2 linked regions of the Drosophila melanogaster genome follow. The protein of the gene in region 1 binds, or shares a complex with, the protein of each later gene. Each region holds a gene or a part of one and is shown on either strand. Other genes may lie near its edges.

Region 1 (8,805 bases):
AATTAATATTGTATCAATTTTTTGTAAAATAGGTAATAATGTGCTTCTAAAAGAAAACACTAAACAGATTAGAATTTTAAATATATTGAAACATAAAGCTTACAAAGAGAAAACAAACATAGTCAAAAACACGTTCTCTCTCGCTGAATATGTTAACATTTGGCTGTGGCCTAGTCCCTAGAAAACACAAAGAGTTTGCTGGAACAATCCTGGCTGAAAAGTTAAGGTGATTCCAGCAATCTAATCTCTATTTCCATCGGAAGGTGCTTTCGGATTCAATTAGTCCATTGGGAGGGGTTGCGCATTATCAGCCCAATGATATCCGGTGTTGTCAATTCGAAATCCCCTCGCCCGCTTGGAACCCGGCCAAAAGAGCAGTTGGACTACGCTTAACTTTCTACACAAGTGGCCAACACCCATTTAAATCTATATACATCTATTGCCATGCACACATCAACGAACCGTCCAGATAAGAAGAGCAAAAAGCAAACTTTTGACAAATGGCCAAAATACATGAAAGGAAAGCCAAAGCCGGAAGGTGGCCCCAGATTGGGTTCTCATCAGTTTGTGCACGGCGAAAAATAAAGATTCTGTTATGATACTAAAAACTAATAAAAACTATAACTTATTGCATACTTATCAGCGCCTAATTGAGCAAATGGATTCCATAAAGGATAAAGGTATGTAGGTATAAATAGGAATGAGTAGTTTTCTTTTAGTCATACGAATATCAACTAACTTTATATAATTCTCAAAAGTTTTTCCACGTATAAAACGGTACTGAATAGCCCGGAAAAGAGGTGGGCATGCAAGTATGGGGGAGATCAGAGATGGGGCAGCCTTAAATTGTCATCCTAGTGCGCACCATTGGTTCCTCGGATGCTGATGCTGCTTCTGCTGCTGGCAGTTTGCCCCGTTTGCTGTCATTGCACTGCACATAGTAACTTCTACGTGTCCTGCGGAGGAGAAGCAGCAGTGGGTGGTAGCTGTGACTATTTTAAGCGCAGGTCACTCGAAAGGACGCACAAGGACATTGGCTTGTGTGGGTGGCTGTGTCGCCTGCAGTTCGCAGGTCACGTGCATGCACCGCGGTGCATTGACCACGGACACGTTGACACATCGGCCGGAATCTGGGTTGAGCTCCACCTCGAAGCCAGGTGACAGGTAATTGCCTCACGGGCAATCAGGCAATAGGCAATATCGAGGGAAAACAATAAATCAACGCCTGGCGATATTGGTTTTACTAAGAAGCATCAAGCCGCTCGAGAATGTTTAGTTTAACTGAGCCAAAAAACAAAATACACATAAGATAGAGGATTATAAGGACAAAGAGCAAACAAAGAAACAGAATAACAAAAAACATTTCATCTTAACAACTTAATCTTTTGTCCAGACACAGACGTTTTAAATTCGGCCAAAAGGGCAGACACAACTAATTATCCTTTGCGCAATAAAAAAAAAGGATAACATAAGCGATTTAACACGGCTCAGTCCTTTTCAGTAACAGCTTGCGTCTGCCTGTTAACGAACAGAAAGCTGATATGCAAAAGGACCTCGTTAAAATTCAAGAGGACTTTCTTTCGCTGACTTCGTTTGAACCTCTTCATTTTGACATTTGCAGCTCGCGGTCATGGAAACTTAATGAATGCGTAGGATTTTTGCCCTTGCCAGAGTTCACACACCATTCGTTTTTACAAAAATATTGGAAAACCTAAGCTAGTTTCCATCATTAACCATTATTATTATATAACAATTATTTTATTCGGTTTCAGGCCATTGCATCGTTAATAGTTTTCCAAAATCATTTTCGGCACCACATTCATGCTGGTCAACTCCTGGAAGAGCAGTTTGCATGCATACGGCATGGATATCTTAGAGACATTGGCCGACGACTGGCAGAAATGACACCAGGAGCAGTAGGCCATCCTGCCGCAAGTCCGGCAAACATCCACCTCAAAGGCATCCGATGAGATCATCAGACGCTCCATGATCAGCATACTAGCTCCGTAAGAAATGAGACAATCCCGTTCCATTTCGCCCAGACGAAGGCCACCCTCACGACTCCTGCCCTGCGTCGGCTGACGGGTGAGCACCGCCTTGGGTCCCCGGGCACGGGCATGCATCTTATCCTGCACCATATGCTTCAGTTTTTGGTAGTACACGGGTCCCGAGTAGATGTAGGCCTCCAGTGGTGTTCCTGTGATGCCGGAGTAGAAAAAGTCCTTGCCCACGTAGTTGAAACCATGGCGCTCCAGTTCCGCCTGAATGTCTTCCACCTTGGAGCCCCCGAACGCAGTTCCATAGTGGAACTTGCCCTCCAGGAGACCAGCCTTCCCGCCGAGCAGCTCTAACGTTTTACCCACTGTCATACGGGAGGGGAATCCGTGTGGGTTCATTATCATATCCGGGCAGATGCCGAAGTCATTAAAGGGCATATCCTCCTGTTCAACAATCAACCCAGTCACGCCTTTTTGTCCGTGCCGAGAGCTGAACTTGTCCCCGATCTCGGGGATACGTGTCTGGCGCAGCAGGATCTTGATGAGAAAGTCTTCCTCGGCATTGGCGGAAACCATAACGCGTTCGATGTAACTGGGCTCGGGACCCTTATAGCTAATGGGTACTGCGGTGTAGGGAACCTGTGCAGACTGACCCTGCAGCGGATTCATCGATGTTACCGCGGGCATTTCCTTGTTAATCATGATCTGTTTGTTTTGAACCTGCTCGCCTGGAGCCACAATTCCGTCAGTGTCCAGAACGTCGTGCTTGAAGATAACCTTGTTCGTCAGCGCATCTTTCATGGGACCCATGATTCTGTCGAAGGTTTGATTCGCATACCGTTTCACAGTGCACTTTGAGTTTTTGTACACCAGACAGCGTCCATATCCCCGATCTATCGACGCCTTGTTTAAGATCAGCGCATCTTCGATGTCGTAGCCAGAGTAACTCATAACTGCCACAGTGGCATTCTGACCAGCAGGCAATTTGTCAAAGTTGGTAAGCTCGATAGTCTTGGATTTCACCATAGGAGCATGGGGATACACCAGATTATACATCAGCGAGTCAATCCTGTTCTTCTGGTTATAGCCAATCATTCCCATCGCCTGCTTACCCATAGCACACTGATAGGTGTTCCTGGGACTCTGATTGTGATGAGGATAGGGCACCAATCCAGCACAAACTCCCAGCAAAGTGAAGGGTTCGATTTCCAAGTGTGTAGTCCGGTCCTCTATTTGATCCTCGTTCCAGGCGATAAACGAATCGTTCTCCTCGTTCACATCTAAATACTCGATTAGTCCGTCCAAGAGAAAGTCGTCGAACTTACGAATCCCTCGATTCAGCTCGTCCAGGTGATGCTGCTTCACCAGCGGGCGACGGTTCTCCACAATTACATAGGGGCGGCACAGACGACCGCCATCCGTGTGGATGTAGATGCATCGCTGGGTGTATGATGTGTGCACAGACACGTAGCTGCCCATCCGACCCTTTCTGCGCATGTAACGAAGGTTCCGCACCAGGTGCTTGTGGTTCAAGGTGAGACCCAGAACATTACCATTGATGAAGACGAGGAATACATTCGGGTTATTGATGGGGTTACCGCTCACTTCTCGTATGTCTTCCACGCCAGCATTGAAAGCCACTATCATAACGGGTCGCTCCTCAACTTCGGTGGTGATGTGCGTCATCAGAGCCAGATTTTTGACCAGACCACAGGCCTCACCTTCTGGAGTGTCCGAGGGACACAGCATACCCCATTGACTGGGCTGCAGAGATCTGGGTCCCGACACCTTACGCGTCTTCTCAAACTGCGAGTTCACACGCGTCATCATTCCCAACGCTGAGATATAACTCAAACGGGACAGAACCTGCGTTACGCCAGCTCTTTCCATCTTAAATCTCTTGATCGTCCAGTTGCCGGAACTGATAGCAGACTCCAGTCCCGCTGTGATTTGTGCCGCCCTCATGTGCTTGACCACATCGAACTGCGCCGCCTTCACCTTGGGTATATTTTTGTCCGCAATGGTCTTAAGCTCCCAGTTCATGCGCTTGAACAGATCCTCGAACATCATGGAGAGCAAAGAACCTGCCAGCTCCAGTCGCTTGTTGCCGTAGTAATCGCGGTCGTCAAAGAGCGTTTTGTCCAGCTCGGCGGCCATAACACGACGCACCATCATGGATACATAGATGGCCTTCATTTGCAAGTTAAAGTTGTCCACAGGCACATGCGCCAAAATGGTAGTTAACAGCAGCTCACGGGCCTCTTCCGATGGCGTTTTTGTGGTGGCACTCTGAAAACGCTTGACCACCAACTTGGAGCCTAAAAAAAGGTATTTTAAGAACAAAATTTAACTAGGGTAAACAAACCTACCCATGTACTCCAAAGCCCTTTGCTGTGTGAAGACCTTCAGGTTGTAGGCGTCTATTAGAGAGGCACCGAATCTATTCTGCGATTTGCTGTCAATGCCAATTAGCGATTGAATTTCCTGATCGGAAACTACGCCCAGAGCTTTAAAGATCACCACAATGGGTATGTCGTCCGTCATCGAGTTGTGCTTGAGGTAGTACTTTCCATGCTTGCTCAACACCAAAGTACGTGACTTCTTTTCGTGTGTGGAGGAGGTAACCTGGCATTGCACCACACCGTTGAAGTCCTCGGTGAGCATCTTGTTCCATGACAGCTGCTCCTGAATGAGGATAACCTTCTCCTGACCTCGCACCACAAAGTAGCCGCCAGGATCTAGTGGACACTCATTCAGTTTGGACAGCTCGAACTCCGACTTGCCGGTAAGGGCGCAATTGGAGCAGCGCAGCATGAGGGGCATCCTTCCGATGAGCAAATTATTCCGCTTGATCCGCTGGGTTCCCCTCGTGTACTCGATGTCCACGGTGATGGGGGCGGAGTACGTGGTGTCCCTCAGACGGCATTCGTGCGGTGTGGTCGCTTTGGTGATGTTGAAGCCATCGTCGATGTCCGGCTTGCCCACCCGCACATCCAAGTACTTTAGGTAAAACAAAGGATCAGCTCCACTGGTAACCAGCTCGTTAGCCTTCACAATCTTTTTTATGTCCACGTTGATGAAGTGATTGAAGGAATCAATGTGCTGCTTCACTAATCCTTTTACTTGCAAGAATGCCGGCACCAATTTCCACTTCTCCGTTAGCGGCTTAATGGGCACCGACCAGTCCTTGCTGTCGCCGGGATCCCAGGTGGTGGCCTCCACGTTGTGATCGCCCATCTTTAGCTCCACCATTTCGTTATAATAATTTAATTTAAGTTTGTCAACAAAACAGCGTGCTATGAGGTTCTTCGATATGCGGTTTCTTTACCTATCGGTTATCGATATACTTGGGCAAGTGATAGCAAAGTTATTCCCATAGAGCTGGCAGTGAAATTAATTCCCGCTAAATCTAGCTTTAATTTATTTAAATTACCTCTGTGCGCGCCAATTAAAAAATTTGATAAAATAAAAATTAGAGGGTTTTCTTAAACTTAAGCCGCCTTAAATCCACGCACACATAAAGCACATTCGTTTTTTATTTTCGAATAAAAAATGCCATCAAGTAATCAAAGTGTTATCGTTGCACAGAGTCTAAACCTTCTTCACAATCTGGACCACATCCTCGTCGTTGAGAACGTGTTCGATGCCCACCTTCTGTGGCTGATGCTTCACAGATGAGCCCCAAACCAGCGCACTACGAAGGAAATACATAAATGTTATTATAACCAAGGGAACAGAGGGAAAGTGAAGCGCACTCACTATTTAAATTCCTTGGCAATGGAGCGATGCAGCTTGTTGCAGAAATCCTCAATGCTGGTGCGCTCGTTGTGGAGTACCACGGGCGAGTTGTAATCGGGCAGCTGGCCCTTGGGCTTGGTGTAGATGCGCTGCAGTCGCAGGTATTCCCACATCAGCTCCAGCAGATCGTCAAAGTTCCAGTGGTGATGGGCCGAGATGGGCACGCAATGCGGGATCTTGTAGATGACGTCCAGCTCCTCGATGGAGATCTGATCGATCTTGTTCAGCAGATATATGCAGGGTATGTAGATGCGGTTGCCCTCGATAACGTCAATGAGGTCGTCACTAGTGGCGTCGTATCTCAGGGTGATGTCCGCATTGTGGATCTTGTACTCGGATAGAATGGTCTTCACCAGATCCGTGTCCAACTCGGACTGCGGAACCATGCTGTTCAGATTGATGCCACCCTTGTCCTTCCGCTTGTAGTAGATATTTGGTGGTTTCTTGTTAAGCCGGATGCCGAAGCCCTCCAATTCATGCTCGAGGAGTTTCTTGTGGCCAAGCGGTTTCAGGCAATCCAGCACCATGAAAATGAGGTTACAGGTGCGAGCGACAGCAATCACCTGACGACCTCGACCCTTGCCATCCTTAGCGCCCTCAATGATACCGGGCAAGTCCAGCAGCTGGATCTTAGCGCCCTTGTACTTAATGCATCCCGGCACAGTGGTCAACGTTGTGAATTCGTATGCCGCCACCTCGGAGTAAACGCCAGCCAAGTTGGAGAGCAGTGTGGATTTACCCACAGAAGGAAACCCTACGAATCCCACCCGGGCATCTCCAGTCTTGGCCACCTCGAAGCCAGCTGGAAATACATAATGTTTAGTGATTGCCTGAATTATATATCCAAGAGCCTACCTTCGCCGGTTCCGCCGCCGCCTCCTTTGGGGGAAATCAGTTCGCGTCGCAGCTTAGCCAGCTTCGCCTTCAGTAGACCCAAATGGGCCGAGGTGGCCTTGTTCTTTTGGGTTCGGGCCATCTAGGATTCAGTTGAGAAGGTGGTCCAACAACCCGGTGATTTAGATAGAATCCAGGGGGGAATCCGCGGGGTAAATGGATGCGAGACAGGTTAGTTTCTGTAAGATCGGCAGGTACTCCAAGTTCCACTCACCTCCGACTCGATGGCCGAGATTTTCTCCAATATTGTGCTCATGGCTGGCTGAGAGTTAAACGCGGTTCACAGAAAACCCCAGTTATCAACAAATATGCATGTAAAAATAAAATATATAAAACTCTCGCGTGGACAGTTGGAGGTGCAATCGATATGTATTCGATACAATCGATTTGTTCAGTAATGTGGTCGATTCCCAACGTTAGCCAACACTTAACGAATCGTAAAAGTATTCTTAGACAAAATTAAAATGGTCAGGCTGATTGGAATATAGCCGTTACAATTTGATGGCTGCAAGAATGTTTGCTAAAGGTTAAGTTCCGCAATTAAATACTGAGAACTATTTATAAATTAACAAAAAATTAACATTGTTTCAGTTAAACCGCGCACCCCTCTGGGTAACAACCAAGCTCAATTTAAGAGCCAACTGACCAACAACGTCTCGCAATTGAATCGCAGTTTTCCAACGGCCGCTGAACTTTTGCGCAAAAATAGCACCCAATTGCGGCAAACAAAACTAACTGTCTGTCGTAAGGATAATAAGCTAATATACGATGGATTCGTGGAGGAAGCTGTGAAAGTTCAGCCCAAAAAGGAGAACGTTCCATCACCGATTATTCTGGAAAAATCCAGTTGCGAAATGTCAGCCAAAAAGGAATCAGCGGAGTTGCCAAGCTCCCCGATGTTGAAGCCAGGACGAAACTTAATTAGTTTAATTGGTCGCGTGGATTTCTGCCTTAAAACTCAAAAAATGTATCCGGAAATTAATGCTATTTGGAATGTTTACGGTGGGTCTGAACTGAAATACATTCAAAATCAAATTACTATATACATTTTAAACAGAATGATTAATATCGCTAAATTTGGCAAGTTAAATCATTAATTATCGTTTTTCAGGAAAATTGCTACGGATCATTGTGGGAAAACGTGGAGAACACACCTTGCTCGTGCGAAACAAAGAATCGGGGCCCGTCCTTCAGGGAATTTACTACGATTTCGAAGGCGTTATGAGTACTTGGAGCCCAGGTAAAATGCAGGAAACTGATAACCATTACATAACCAAAGTTTTATTCATTAAAAGGCTGCTTTGTCCATCTCGTGGGCCAGTTTATTGGCGAAAATCGCTTGAAAACATTTAAGATTGACCAGGTAAGCGACATTGACTGGCAACAGCAATTTCTGCGCATTGAAAATGTTACCTCGTATATTTTATTGCAAAACACTATGCAAAAGTAATTTATTTTTTAAGGATACAGTTTTCTTGAGATTTTTAGGCCAGGCGATAGTGTACTTTTCACAAGGTATAAATATGCTAGCCTAAGCTTTTCGATCCTGGCCTCCAATCAACAGTGAAATGTTTCATTTTGTACTTTTGTAGTTTACAAATCATGAATAATTTATAGAGTTAGTAACTTATAATTAATATACCTAGGAAATAAGTTAGCTTCAAAATGCCCCCTGACGATTCTCTCCAGGAGCATTGCACAGTTTCAAGGACTACAACAAATACAAATTCCGAAGTGGGCGTATAAAGTCTAATACTGGTGAACTTATTGAACTAATTGGAAGGAAATGGGTATTCAGTTCTACGAGTACAAGTCGAAGTACATGAAGACCGTGACCAGAAATCCGCAGAACAGGGCGCACAAGTAGCCCAAGTGCATCGAGGCAGTCTTCTCCTCGCGGAAACTGCAAATTGAAGTAAAGACTCCATGTTATAATGAATAATTAAAGGTGATTTCCCCAGAGCTTACCGTTTCTTGGAACGCGGCGTAAAGGGCGAGGGGGGATTTACGCCGGGCACCGCGCTGTCCAAGTACACGATTCCGTACGCGAAAGCTGCCACTAGAAGGCCACACAGCAGGGGACTCAGCCTGGAGCCCAGCTGGTGCCTGGTGGCCC
Region 2 (5,224 bases), on another chromosome or scaffold:
TGACCAAGAATGTGGATGCCGGCTTAAAACACTATCCAGAGGACACTATCAGCTATCAGAGTAAGTGAATACGCCCAGCTTGTTAGATCCGCCCTTTTAAAACCTTTTTCTTCTTCCCTTCCCTTTCAGTTAAGAGCCTTAACAAGCAAATCATTGCCGTGGTGCAGTTCATCTTCTCCGTGGCCGCTGGCTTTACGTTCGGCTTTTTCGGCGTCAATTTGATGGTGGGCCCGCTGCCTTTCGGCTTTCGCATCTTGCTGGGCGTGATTGTAGCGCTCATCATAGCCCTGGCTGAGATGTACTTCCTGGCCAAGAAGCTGCACGAGTACGATGAGGTCTTGGACGCGCCCAAACGTAAGCCGCAGCCATCGACGCCGGCTAAGCGCACCCCGCCCGCCGAGGGAAGTCAAGTCCAGACATTGAAACCCCATGTTGACTAGATAGATGATCTGCGAGTAAAAATCGTTCTTTGTCGTTGTATTATTTCGCTTTGCAATGTTAGGTTATATAAATAGCTGTAAAAGTTTTATTCTTTCGGAATCGGGGACTTGGATATCGATTATATGCTACGTATGCTTATTTCGACCGTGAATGCACACCCTATTCGTAGTGGTTCGGCTGTGGATTGGGGTTATTCCAGCCCTCGTCCACGGCATCAGATCCTCCGCGACCCAGCCAGGCCATAAGATAGACGAACAAGACAAAGGCCAAAATGCCGGCGGTCACCAGGAACCAAGTGCGACGCCACGGCGGCCGCGAGGAGGGCGCATAGAAGCGGCGTGTCCATCGCGAGAACAATTCCGCAGGAGTGCGGCGCTGGTACTTATTATCGTCTCGATCTGTCCCACCAATTGGCGACTGACGGGGCAGCAGCGGTCTTCTGCTGCTGGCTGCAGGTGCGTAAGATTATAATTATAATATGACTCAAAGTGTATGCTAGATTATGCGCACCGTAGTCGCCCGCACTTGGGGGATTAAATGCATCCATTAGGAGCACGGAATGTGGGCTCACGGCGTCATGGCCATTGGGCTTCGTGCGCTCTCGCTCGCCACCGGAATGGATGTGGTGCACTTTGGTCATGTTGCTGACAGCCGCCTGGCTTGCCACCTTGGGCTTAATGGCCTTCAGACTGCTGCTCTGCTCCTCAGAGAGCTGGGAAAGATTCAACATTTAAATTGATTACAAGCTTACTGCCCGGAATGCTTACCAGGGCGAGTCCCAGGCCATTTCTGCCCCAGTTAACCTGCGACAGGAAACTCTTCAGAGCATCGGCCACCGGGGAGACCAGGTTGGCGTTGGGAAAGATCTCCACACTGCAGGCGGGGCACTGGTGACCCCGAGGGGCTGTGTTGGCAGGCAGTGCGGCTTGGCGGGCGTTCAGGCAGTCCCAGTGGAAAACATCTGGAAATGGCAGGATTATGGGTAAGTGTGTGGTGTCTGGATTAGCTCAAAACTGGCAGATCCCTACGGTAGCAGACGAGGCGCACGCAATCGCCCTGCTCCAATGTGGTGCCGCACAGAGTGCAGTTGGAGATGTAGTCGCTGTCCCGCAGCCACTGCAGATACGACTGCACAATGCACTGAAAAAGAGTGGATATGGTGTATTCCAAGCATCCATAAAACTAGAGGACAGGAATCCTTACCTTTGGATGAGACTGAACCATACAGTGTTCGCAAACATTGACTCGATGCTCAAAGCAAAACTGGTTGGTCACCAGGCGCTTGGGGCACTTGCACAAACCCATTTCCTTAAATTCGGGGTTCCTAAGGCGGCGGAGGAATTGCACTTGGCGGCCTTGGGACAGCTATCGCATAATAACGCCTCAATAAAATTAAATTTTATTTCGTTTCGCAGCTTTTGTCGGAATTTTCGAGTTTTCATTCACATATTCAACAGCCACGTATCTGTTCATGCGTTCCGGGCGATTGGCAACCAGCTGACATATTCTGCGAATATCGTAGCGATGAATGATGAAATACGATATGTGTTTGCGATTTAAAAAATCGGTTTCAAATTTTCCTTTTTTTTATGGTAACCATAACATTTAAGAGTTAATAATGTTTGTGCTACAAAAAGCTTAATAAACAATAAGTTCAATTTGTAATACTTAATATAAAATAAAATCCAGAGTTTTCGAGCTAATCCCTAATCCAACCAATCTCGCATATATTCACAAGTTATAGCAGTTACATCGCCACAATTGGAGCAGTTTTTGATGACGGGACAAATGCCACATGGCATCTGGACCAGACCAGTCGGAGGAAGTGGGGCGTTCACCGCCCGGTAGACGAAGGATCCATCCTGCTGGCGCACTCGCTCCGCATTGCCGTCGTACACCACTGTTTTGAGAATTGTTTCCAGATCGGCCTCCGCCAGATTAACCTTGCTGATGCCCAAGTCCGAGATGAACTTCTGAACCTCGTTCACCGTGCAGCAAGACATCTGCTTGAAGGCCAGTGGCCCCTCGCGCTTCTTTTCCGCACTGTCGCGTTTCATTTGCAGAAAGCGCAGGCACTGCTGGTTGAGCACATCCACAAACTCCACCTCAAAGTCCTGATCCTGGTACCAGGCTCCTCCCGTAATGGAGAGATCCGGCTCTAGGTTGTACAGCATGTACACTTTCTTTTTGCTGGCCTGCGCGAAGAAAATTTGGAATCACATTGAACTTGGAATATGGGATCATAGAACCTACGTTCACCGACTTGACCGCCTTGATGAGCTTCTTGGTTTCTAGGTTCTTGAGGATCTTGTTGAGCTGTATCATGTTCAGGTTGGACTTCATACGTATATCCCTAATCCAGATGCCTTTGTTGCCGCCCTCCTCAACAATGCCGTAGACGACCTTCTCCTCATTGTCCGCATCCTTGGGCAGGGCACTCTTCTTTTCCGGGTCCTTGGCACGGTACACCAGCTTTTCACCCTTCTTCAGGATCTCGATCCCGCCCTCCTGCAGCAGTATATTCAAAGCTTCCACCCGCGTGGCCGCCGGCACATCGGGCAGCGCCTTGGTCAGGTCATCGTTGGTGGCACCGGCTGGGATGCCCTGGACCACCGCCAGCAAAAGTTGCGACACCTCAGTGGCCATTTTTCTATTCTCGAAAATTTGTTATTTAAAATTCAATTAAATCGAGAAAAACAACACGCTTACCGTGAAAAGCAAAACAAAAACAAACGGTTCCGGGCGAATGGCTACCGCTGCTAAGAAGAAGCTAAAAAATAACAAAAATCACAAACCAATTTTAAAAATATAAGTTTGTTCTATTAAAAATAATACTTTACGCAACTGAATAAATGAGGATAAATAAGGAGCATATGTTTTAGGCTTTATTACAAATTGCTTTAAATAAAATTTAAAGCTTTCCGAAGACCCCAAATGTTATATCGTGAATCTGGTATGTATATACCAAATGGTATTTATTTTAAAAACGAGTGGCTTTTTTAGGCTCATTGGTGCCAACTGTTTTTTCGAACAGATCGCCGGACGCACTGTTTCTGATTGGAGTGTTCGCTGCCTGTGCATTTAAATTGAATTAAAATAATTCCAAAACAGGAAGAGCAAATACATCTTTCCGCGAGTTCACCTTTACTGTCAAAAACAGGTAATTATCAGATCTTCTTGATACGACCTCAAGCTAAACATCATTCCATTATAATACGCTAGAAATTTTGCTAACGAAATTGGCGGGGGCAAGACATTTGTTTTTGCTGTTGTTGATGATGCAAGCAATTTCTCCACATTATGTAGAATTGCGTTTGCCGCCTCACAAAACACATACACACAAGCACGGCTGCGAATTCAATTCGCACACCCATACAATCTCAAAAGAACCTCGTTAGCGAAATGTGTAAAGGTGAAATAGAAGTCATTCCATGCGGAGCGCGCCACAAGTAAAATAACCTACACCATCGCAATCACACCCTATTAAACATGCCATCGGAAATAATGCAGCAATAATAATCTTGAACCGCTGTAAACTTCCACTATCGCAATTGTTTAATTGCTCTGTGACGACGACGCTTTCAGCGATGATGAGTAATTTTGCATAAATTTGCTCTGTGCCGGATTGTCTGAATTATATTTGAAATTTTGTTGCTGTTTCGGCGTCTCAGTGATAAGCATTTGTTGTTGCAGACCCGAGCTTCAAAATGTTAACGGCGCTAACGTCCTTTATCCACAAGTTCAAGGTTAAATAGTACGGCACATAGTACTCATTACATATTGACTGAAGCCTGGAAAAGCACTTTCACTTTCAGAACTTTTCTCGTGCGTTTTCCGGCGACAAAAGCTGCAGGCCGGCGAGCTTTACTTGCACGGTTTCTGCGCGTGTCACTCACGATGAGCGAAAGAGAGAGCGGAAGATAAAAGGAAAGTAGATGCTCACGCACTTGCATAATGGCAGTGCGAGCGAGACGAAGCTGTTTTCTGTGGAGGAGATTAGGTTGTCAAGGTCAGCACAGTGGAATTCTAGGTGGAAGTGGGACAGTTGGACAGTGGGCTCTTTTCCGCGTTGCTTTTTTTCTGTATTGCCAGCTGATAAGCGCCGTCTAACAGCTGATGATCGGTTTTTTGTTTACCACGCACACACATACTGACATCACGTGTCCATATAATCATATATACACATACTTCTGTACAATGCAAATTTATATGCAAAAATTAATAATCGTAATGGATCGTTGAACCTTCTGTTCTATCCGATTGCCGGCCAGCCTAGCAACGGAGCTTTGCGCCAGTTAACTTCGGAGCTTCCTTTTTGGATAAACTTTTCGCATCCCCTTACGCGAAGGGAGTTAGGGTATGTTGGCACAATAGCATATCTTGATCCTGCTAAACACTTTACTTATACTTAAATATCGAATGATAATTTGAGCCTCTATCTTTTCCATTTGATAATATCTTTATTAATTTTTATATGCAGTATTGTAAGATTAAGGTTATATTTCACTCGGAATTATATTGGGAATAGCGGTAAGGCCACTTGGTCGACTGAGCAGCTGGCAGTCCCTGGTCGAGCATACCCTTGAATATACCCTTCTTGCTCGCTCACCAATGTTGTCTCTTTAGGGGTGGCCTGTTGCGTCCGCCTCTTGCCTCTTGGGCCCAAACTCTCTCTCCTCTGCGTTTATGCTCTCTTTGCTGTCGGGCTACCGACATTCTGAGCGCTTTTTCTGCGGCTAGGAAAATTTCCGCTTGCCAAAAAATCTGTGTGGCAGTCGAACTT

The links.
Region 2: Polr3B (region 1) and Polr3F share a complex: the UniProt entries of both Drosophila melanogaster proteins name them as parts of the RNA polymerase III (Pol III) complex.

The regions. Positions count from the first base shown.
Region 1 is NT_033778.4:12,035,563-12,044,367, reverse strand, and holds Polr3B (RNA polymerase III subunit B), read right to left. Parts: upstream 5,328-8,805; 5' UTR 5,250-5,327; coding exon 4,367-5,249; intron 4,316-4,366; coding exon 1,785-4,315; 3' UTR 1,745-1,784; downstream 1-1,744. Other genes in the region: 128up (upstream of RpIII128), read right to left, coding at 5,589-5,691, 5,757-6,597, 6,651-6,771, 6,904-6,945; CG43191 (uncharacterized protein), read left to right, coding at 7,203-7,215, 7,281-7,691, 7,801-7,929, 7,985-8,139; CG8321 (uncharacterized protein), read right to left, coding at 8,490-8,592, 8,658-8,805. UniProt on the Drosophila melanogaster protein: DNA-dependent RNA polymerase catalyzes the transcription of DNA into RNA using the four ribonucleoside triphosphates as substrates. Second largest core component of RNA polymerase III which synthesizes small RNAs, such as 5S rRNA and tRNAs.
Region 2 is NT_033777.3:22,364,068-22,369,291, forward strand, and holds Polr3F (RNA polymerase III subunit F), read right to left. Parts: upstream 3,307-5,224; 5' UTR 3,287-3,306; intron 3,212-3,286; 5' UTR 3,151-3,211; intron 3,093-3,150; exon of another isoform or gene 3,092-3,092; 5' UTR 3,088-3,091; coding exon 2,695-3,087; intron 2,637-2,694; coding exon 2,148-2,636; 3' UTR 2,013-2,147; downstream 1-2,012. Other genes in the region: CG7071 (uncharacterized protein), read left to right, coding at 1-60, 130-440; CG5382 (uncharacterized protein), read right to left, coding at 601-890, 952-1,153, 1,209-1,402, 1,470-1,581, 1,645-1,746. UniProt on the Drosophila melanogaster protein: DNA-dependent RNA polymerase catalyzes the transcription of DNA into RNA using the four ribonucleoside triphosphates as substrates. Specific peripheric component of RNA polymerase III which synthesizes small RNAs, such as 5S rRNA and tRNAs.